2 linked regions of the Callithrix jacchus genome follow. The protein of the gene in region 1 interacts with the protein of each later gene in a pairwise test. Links are inferred from orthologs where the notes say so. Each region holds a gene or a part of one and is shown on either strand. Other genes may lie near its edges.

The links. The genes of interacting proteins can lie anywhere in the genome.
Region 2: the proteins of FLII (region 1) and LRRFIP1 interact in binary tests that used the Homo sapiens proteins (3 or more experiments, as listed by UniProt). The link is inferred for Callithrix jacchus from reciprocal best matches to the Homo sapiens genes FLII and LRRFIP1.

What each region holds. Positions count from the first base shown.
Region 1 is NC_133506.1:82,681,002-82,684,641, forward strand, and holds part of FLII (protein flightless-1 homolog), read right to left. Parts: intron 3,434-3,640; coding exon 3,286-3,433; intron 3,106-3,285; coding exon 2,969-3,105; intron 2,797-2,968; coding exon 2,584-2,796; intron 2,354-2,583; coding exon 2,174-2,353; intron 173-2,173; coding exon 90-172; intron 1-89. UniProt on the Homo sapiens protein: Is a regulator of actin polymerization, required for proper myofibril organization and regulation of the length of sarcomeric thin filaments. It also plays a role in the assembly of cardiomyocyte cell adhesion complexes.
Region 2 is NC_133507.1:158,928,564-158,932,726, reverse strand, and holds the start of LRRFIP1 (leucine-rich repeat flightless-interacting protein 1), read right to left. Parts: upstream 2,879-4,163; 5' UTR 2,815-2,878; coding exon 2,719-2,814; intron 1-2,718. Other genes in the region: RAB17 (ras-related protein Rab-17), read left to right, coding at 3,048-3,302.

The sequences.
Region 1 (3,640 bases):
CCAATGGCCCAATTTATCCCTAATACCCTCCTCTCCACCCCTTTCCAGCCAACTCCAGCTCCATGCTCCCCACTGCCTACACGTCTCACCTGGTGATGTAGTGTGTGTCTTCCACAGTGTAGAAGCCACTGGCTGTTCCACCCTCAATGTAGGAGATGTCATTGTCAAACACCTGTGTGTGAGGGTGTGGTTCTTCATCACTGAGCTGTCCCTCCCCCACCAACCACACCGCCCATCAGGTGTGGTACAGAGTTGCATACAGGTGAATTGAGTGCTACAAATCTATGATGTTTTAAAAAAGCAGATCTGGCCAGGCGCCGTGGCTCACGCCTGTAATCTCAGCACTCTGGGAGGCCAAGGCAGAGCTCAGAGGACTCCCTACCCAGTACCTCCCAGAAAACCCCAGGAACTCCTTGCCCTGCACCAGCAGTGTGATCTCAGCCTTCCCTTTCTGCTCATTCTTGTTAATTTTCTCTGCAAAGAGCCTGAGAGCATGATGCAGAGTCATCAGTGAGGCTCACACCCCTTTCCTTCACACAAAAGACCCTACAGTGTCCTTGTACCTGGCCTTGGTGGTGCTGCTCAGATCACCTGAGGTCGGGAGTTTGAGACCAGCCTGACCAACATGGAGAAACCCCATCTTTACTAAAAATACAAAATTAGCCAAGCATGGTGGCACATGCCTGTAATACCAGCTACTTGGGAGTCTGAGGCAGGAGAATCTCTTCAACTCGAGAGGCGGAGGTTGTGGTGAGCCAAGATTGTGCCATTGCATTCCAGCCTTGGCAACAAGAGCAAACTCTATTAAAAAACACAAAAATGGCTGGGCGCGGTGGCTCACGCCTATAATCCTAGCACTTTGGGAGGCCGAGGCGGGTGGATCACAAGGTCAAGAGATCGAGACCATCCTGGTCAACATGGTGAAACCTCATCTCTACTAAAAATACAAAAAATTAGCTGGGCATGGTGCCGTGTGCCTGTAATCCCAGCTACTCAGGAGGCCGAGACAGGAGAATTGCCTGAACCCAGGAGGTGGAGGTTGCGGTGAGCCGAGATCGCGCCATTGCACTCCAGCCTGGGTAACAGCAGCGAAACTCCATCTCAAAAAAAAAAAAAAACACAAAAACAAAAAACAGATCTGGCTGGGCACTGGGCACGGTGGCTCACGCCTGTAGTCCCAGCACTTTGTGAGGCCAGGAGAGCAGATCACCTAAGCTCAGGAGTTTGAGACCAGCCTGGTCAACATGGCAAAAGCCCATCTCTACTAAAAAAAAAATACAAAATTTAGCTAGGTGTGGTGGTGCATGCCTGTAATCCCAGCTACTCAGGAGCCTGAGGTAGGAGAATTGCTTGAACCCTGGAGGCGGAGGTTGCAGTGAGCCAAGATTGTGTCACTGCACTCCAGCCAGGGCGACAAGAGTGAGAATCCGTCTAACAAAACAAAACAAAAAAACAGATCTGTGCCTATAAACATATACACATTGGGGTGTTGGGATGTATGAAAATATGGGTATGTTCACCCACGCGTGTAAAGATGCCTGCAGCATGTTTGGAGTACACAAGCAAGTGGGTTCGTGGAAGAGTGGAAATCTGGGTGAATATGGGTAAAAACTCAGGGTGGGGGTGTGTGTGCACATGAACTCCATGTGTGTGTACATGCAAACATATGTCTAGGTGTAACCAGCTGGTGGCTAACAGGGCTCAAAATTTATTCAAGACTGGACTCTAGTCCTGCGCTTGGCCCTGCCATCTTGTTACCCAGGTACGTCCCCGCCCCCTAGTAACAGGTTTTGGCCCCACCTCCTCACTGCTCTTGGCAACACCCCTTCCACCCTGCTCTCAGTTCCCTCTGCTCTTAGCTCCCTTGTCATTTGGTCTTGCTCCCATGCAAAGCCTGCACCCTCATCCTTGCCGGGCTGAATTCTGCCCTGTGTTCCTGAACTCTTCTCCACTGACCCAGGCTTTGGCCACCCCTAGACCTTACGCTGCCATCTGCTTTAGGTCTGTAACACAGATCAGGATCTGGATCACAGTATTGTGATCCAGCCCCCTTTGGCCTCAGCTCCCTGCCTGCCTACCTGTTCCTCCTACCTGCCTTGGGCCCACTGCCCCTGCACCAGAGTTCCCTGGGTCCCCCACTCTGCCCGCCCCCAGTTCTAGAAGGGGCTGGCACCTGCAGGAACTCCTCGCTCTCGTCGCCCATCTCCTCCCGGACAGTGCGGCACTCGGCACCCAGGTAGTTGCGCAAGTTGACGGCATGGATGGCAGAGCAAGCTTTCTTGTCGAGCGTGGCCTCCCCACCAATCCAGTAGTAGATCTCCCAGTTGAGGGAGCCGCTGTCATCCAGAAAGGTCTGGGAGCCAATGCATCGGTCATGTCAGCCTTCATCCTGGCTTTCTGGCCACCCCAGAGAGGCCACTCTGAACAGCACGGGCTTCCCAGCCCCAGCGGTGTTGTACTACCCTGTGCCTGGACCACCTCCATCGGCCTACCCACCTCCCACCTGGCCTCCCTGAACAAAACTCTGGAGTTGGGGACTCAGCCATCTTAGAGGAGGCCCCTAACAACATGGCCAGCCCTCACCTTAAGCACGATGTAGCAGTCAGCCTCGTAGAACTTGCCATGGAAGGCTTCCTCCACCAGCACAGGCACAAAATTCTCGATCTGCCAGATGGTCAAGCCGGGCAGCTGGCCCACGTCCTCCGTGAAGAACTCCGAGTAGTCAAGGCGCGGCTTCTCCAGGCTCTGGTCCCAGCGCCGCACCTTCCCGCCAGGGGCCTGAGCATCTGTGCTCTCCTGGGGGCAGAGTCACAGAGCATGGCGTGACTCTGTGAAGCCACTCAGGCCGGTCTTTACTTGCTGCCCACAGGGCCTCTGCACAGCTAATCTCGCTGCCAGCGTCCCCCATCCCTCTTGGCCAGGATCAAGGCCAGGGTCAGCCTTGAGTAGAAGCCAAGGCCTGGCTTACCTCCTGCTTTTTGTTCTTCTCCTGGGCAACATCTGACATGCCCTTCAGCACCTGCTTGGCCTGGTCATCCTGGGCTGAGTCCTTGCGCCTCCGCAGCCGCATCTTGCGAGCCAGAGGGTCCTTGGGCCCACTCCCTGCTTAGGGGAAGGGCAAACAGCTGAGCCCTCTCTGGGCCTGCCGCCCCCTTCGCCTGCAACCAACCAGGGGCCAACTCCATCCCCCAGGGTCCAGAAAGCTGTATCCCACCCAATTTACAGATACATAATTTGAGGTCTGAGAGGAACCCCGGCTCCCAGGCGAGACCTTTCCTCACTCACCAGCTGCAGCCGCAGCCACTGTAGCAGGAGAGGCACCTGCCAGCCGCAGCTGGTTCTGCAGCGAGAAGTCGATGTTGTACCACTCAGTGGTACGGTCCGCGGGCTTGGGTGGCATGACCAGGTTGGGGTTCTCCCGCACGTCCAGGACCTGCCCCGTAGGATAAACAGAGCTGGCACTGAGCCTGCGCCCCACCTCCCAGACACACCAATCCAGTTTCCTGCTCTTGTCTGCAGCCACCAGGGCTGAGAGGCCAGGGACCAGGTTCTTGTCCCACCCACCTCTGAGGCTGGTTGGGGGTTTAAATGAGACTGTGGAGCGTGCTCTGGATACAGGGAGGCAGCCCACCTTCTTCCC
Region 2 (4,163 bases), on another chromosome or scaffold:
TTAGTACTATTGACCTACAGGTGTCGAGCCCTTTCTGACTCAACTCCTGGAAGGCAGGTCCTTGTCGGGTTCCTCCCTGACTCTTCAGTCTCCCCAGGGCAGGAACTTGGATGCCATGACCTGTATCTGTTGAGTCAGCCAGTGAGGAAGAAAGTACTGAACCTCCGACAGTGTTGTGGATTCCCATGAGAACCCCAGTGAATTCCAGGCATAGGTATTTGCCATTTGAATAGTGATTTTCATTTTCACAGTTGGGAGACAGAATTTAATTTGTACTAAAACATGTCACACCTGCTCCCTCCAACCCTTATCAATCTGTGCTACTCAGTCCTTGTGACAGCTGCGCCGATGGCTGGGTTTTCCAGGGAGGGGTGTGTAAGGAGCTCTCACATTTACCGACTGCCTAGTGACATACTTTAGGTTGCTACCCACTGTCTTTAATCCTGATAGCCAGGAGAAATTTCTTCTTCCCTGTTTTAGCGGTAAGAAAACAGAGGCTCAGAGGAGATTGAGTAACTCACCTTCCTAGGATGGCACAGCTGGCAAAGAACTATGTCGTTTCAAAGCCCAGCTCTGACCCACAAGTCTCTCTCTGTAACTTCAACATGATCTCCAGGGGCAGGAGGCAGGACCCCGGGGCTCTCAACCCAAGGAGTGTTCCCTCGCCTTTCCTTTCAATCTATTTTATGAAAACCAGCGGATACGTCGGGCACGGTGGCTCACGCCTGTAATCCTAGCACTTTGGGAGGCTGAGGCAGGCAGATCACTTGAGGCCAGGAGTTCAAGACCAGCCCAGCCAATGTGGTGAAACCCTGCCTCTACCAAAAATACAAAAATTAGCCAGGCGTGGTGGTGTGAACCTGTAATTCCAGCTACTGGGGAGGCTGAGGGAGGAGAATTGCTTGAACACAGGAGGTGGAGGTTGCAGTGAGCCGAGATTGTTCCATTGCACTCCAGCCTGGGTGGCAGAGTGAGACTGTGTCAACAAAACAAAACAAAACAACGAAACCATCAGTGGTTAAAAGACAAACTTTGGGAACTCTCATTCCTCTCATTCTTCTGCCCCACAACCACAGACAGCAAGACAAGGCTTGCAATTCACTGGTCACCTCTGGCCCTCGCAAGAAACACTTGTTAGGCACTGTGGTCAAATGCATACATAAATGACAGTCTTCACAGGAGGGAGTTCTGCTCAAGCTACTATATTTAGCAAATGTCTATATTTAGCCAAAGGTCCTTTAAATGCCTTGTACTTCTTTTGTTTATTAATTAACGTAACAGACGTTGAGGAACACCCAGTATGTGTCTGGCTCTGCCCTGCGCTCTTGGGATACAAAAGATACTGCCTGTCTGGATGTCACCTTCTACAGGTGAACAAATAATAAGACATCTGACTGCCACGCCGGGTGTGGGCAGCAAGAGCTGGTGGAGTGCTGTGGAGCCAGGGAGACTTAGTCCTGGTGTGATGTGAGAAGGCTGAGTTTGGAGGTCTCCTGGAGGTCACAGTGGGCTTTCAGGAATGAATAAAGCTTTGCCTGGAAAGCTTTTTTCTATCTTATACAGAGAAAAACAGAAGTCTTGATTCACTCAATATTCAACAAATACTGAGTGACTGCCACATGTCCATAAGAGCAAAATCAGGTATTTACAACTGCAAACACCTAAGGACTGGTTACAGAGTAGACCCTCCCAGAATATCTGACTGAGGCAAACAGCCCAAATGGCTCAGAAGTGTTTCCTGTGGAAAGAATCACATGTGGAATAGCCCGCCATCAAACCCAACACGGAAGAGAACCTGCGAGGCAGGTTGCAATACAGAGACTTTCTTTGCTTTCATACATCCACCTGGCACGCAGTTCAAATGATACAAAGGGAACACTGTCAAAAATTAAGCTTCCTTTGTCCCCCTGGGTCCCCAACCTATTGGGGTCCCTTTTCCCAAGCTGCAGCTCTCTGTCCCTGGACGGCTTTCTGGATGTCACATACATTCTTTAGCCTTAAGGTAGAACCCTTGAGGGAAATAAAAAAGGCATTGTACAAATACACACTCTGGTGCGCCTTCAATTTGTCACAGGTAAAGTTCATCACCAAACACGATCTTAGTTACAATCAACTCTGCCCAGGAAACTTTAATGAAGACCTTTCCGTGGCCTGGACCCGTTTCCGGGCTCAGTCCTGAAACAATTCACTGTGACCCCGAAGTTCATCTCTGAGCTGCACCTTGAGTGACATCGATGGATCCACGACAAATGGTCACCGGAGCGACTCGGCCATTTCGGCATGGCCATGTGGCCTTCGGGGACCGTCCCTGCCTCCAGGTCGGGCCTAAGCCCCTGCCCCCTCCCATGCGGCACAACAAAGCGGGGCGCTCGCCCCCGCCCCCGCCCGGCCAGCCCGGGCCACCTCGCGCGCTGGCGGCGCCGGCTCCTCTCCCGAGGGCGCAGCGGCCGCCGGTGGCCGGGGTGGGGGAGGGCGCGCAGCGTTGCGGGCCGGGCCCGGGGCTGGAGGACGAGTGCCGGGTCCGCAGGCCGCCGAGATCCCGGCCGGGGTGCAGCGCCAGGGATTCCGCGCCCCTGCGCGCGCCTGCCGGGCCAGCCCGCCTGGGGCCAGACGCTCAGCCGGAAGGACGCGCAGCGGGACAGACGCCCGGAGGGACCCTGACAGCCGCCCGGCCCCGCGCCCGCCCCGCGCCCCCAGCTGCCAGCCCGGCGCGCTCACCTCCCGCGCTATCTGGTTGAGCGCGTCGTCCTCCGCCGTGAGCCGCTCCCGATTGGGGAGCCGCTTGCGCCCCGAGCCCTGGGTGCCCATGTCCATCGACCGCGTCGCCCGCAGCTGCCGCGGGGCCCGTTGCTCCCGCCGCTCGCACCGCCCCGGCCCCTCCCTCCGCCGCGGCGTCATGGCGTCAGCGGGCGCGGGGCCAGGACCGCGGGGACGCGGGGGACGGGGGCCGCGGGGACCCAGGGGAAGCCAGGGCCGGAGGTCCGCAGCGGGGGCCAGGGACGGCGGGGGGCGGCGGCGGGGGGCGGAGACGCCAGGGATCAGGGACGATGGGCGTCCGAGACATTGAGGGCGCGTGGATCTGGGGAACGCCGGGGCCGGAGGTCCACAGCTGGGGCCGAGGACTGCAGGGGCTGGAGACGCTGGAGCGGGGGAAGCGAGCGGGGGACGGAGACGCCAGGGGTCAGGGACAATGGGGGTCCGATGCCCCGGGGACAATGAGGATGCCCAGAGCCGGGCACGCGGGACCTGAGGCACCGGGAGCCCTAGAGTGCGCACCTCCGTGGGGACTGTTTGGCTGGCAGGTAATCGCGGAGCGGCGCGCCCAGGGCGGTGGGCAGCGGTCTGCTGGGGACCTGCGCGGAGGGCTGGGTTGCCTTGAGGGATTTGCACGGAGGGGTGGGCACAGGATACTGTTCAGCCTGGCGCCCCCATTCCGCGGTGAGGCGGAGTCGAAGTCGGTCGCTGGAGTGGGAGCTGGGCTCTGGGCAGGCCGAGGTGTGCTCGGACCCGCAGCTACTGCGGGTTCCTGTGACCTTGCCCAGCCTCCTGGCGCTGGCTTCACAGGCTCTGGGAACATCGTGTGGATGTGCGCGTTTCTGTCTTTACACGCGTGTTTCCATGCTGGCATCCCTCCTTCTCCCCGATGTCTGCCCCCTGAGATCAGGGACTTGTCACTTCTTTCTTGGGTCTCCAGCCTCTAGGATGCCGGCAGGTGCATCGCAGCTCTCTCCTAGTTGTTGAGAAAGTAATGAACTTAACCTGTGCTCTCCAAAGCTCAGTCCACCTTCTAGAGGTGGATTTAAAAGTAAATCAAACCAGAGGTTTAGGTAAGGGTTAAAAGCCCCTGCAGGAGTACCGGGTGGGAAAGTGACTGCTGTGTTTGGGGGCTGGGGGGAACTTCCAGTGGCTGGACCTGGGGAAGGATGGGAGGGAGGGTACTGATGGAAGAGGAGAGGGTGCTGTACTGAAGTCACCTGTCATTTTTTTCCTCCAGTGATAAGGATGGTTAACATTTTGGAGTATTTCCAACCAACTAATGTGACCAAATTGCCTTTGGCTTCTTAGGGAGGTAACCTGGAAGCTGGATGGAAGTGGGAAGAGGAAGGGGCCCCCCACCCCGGTGACAGGGAAAGCGGTTGGAGGTTTTACTGCAGGGAAAAGAC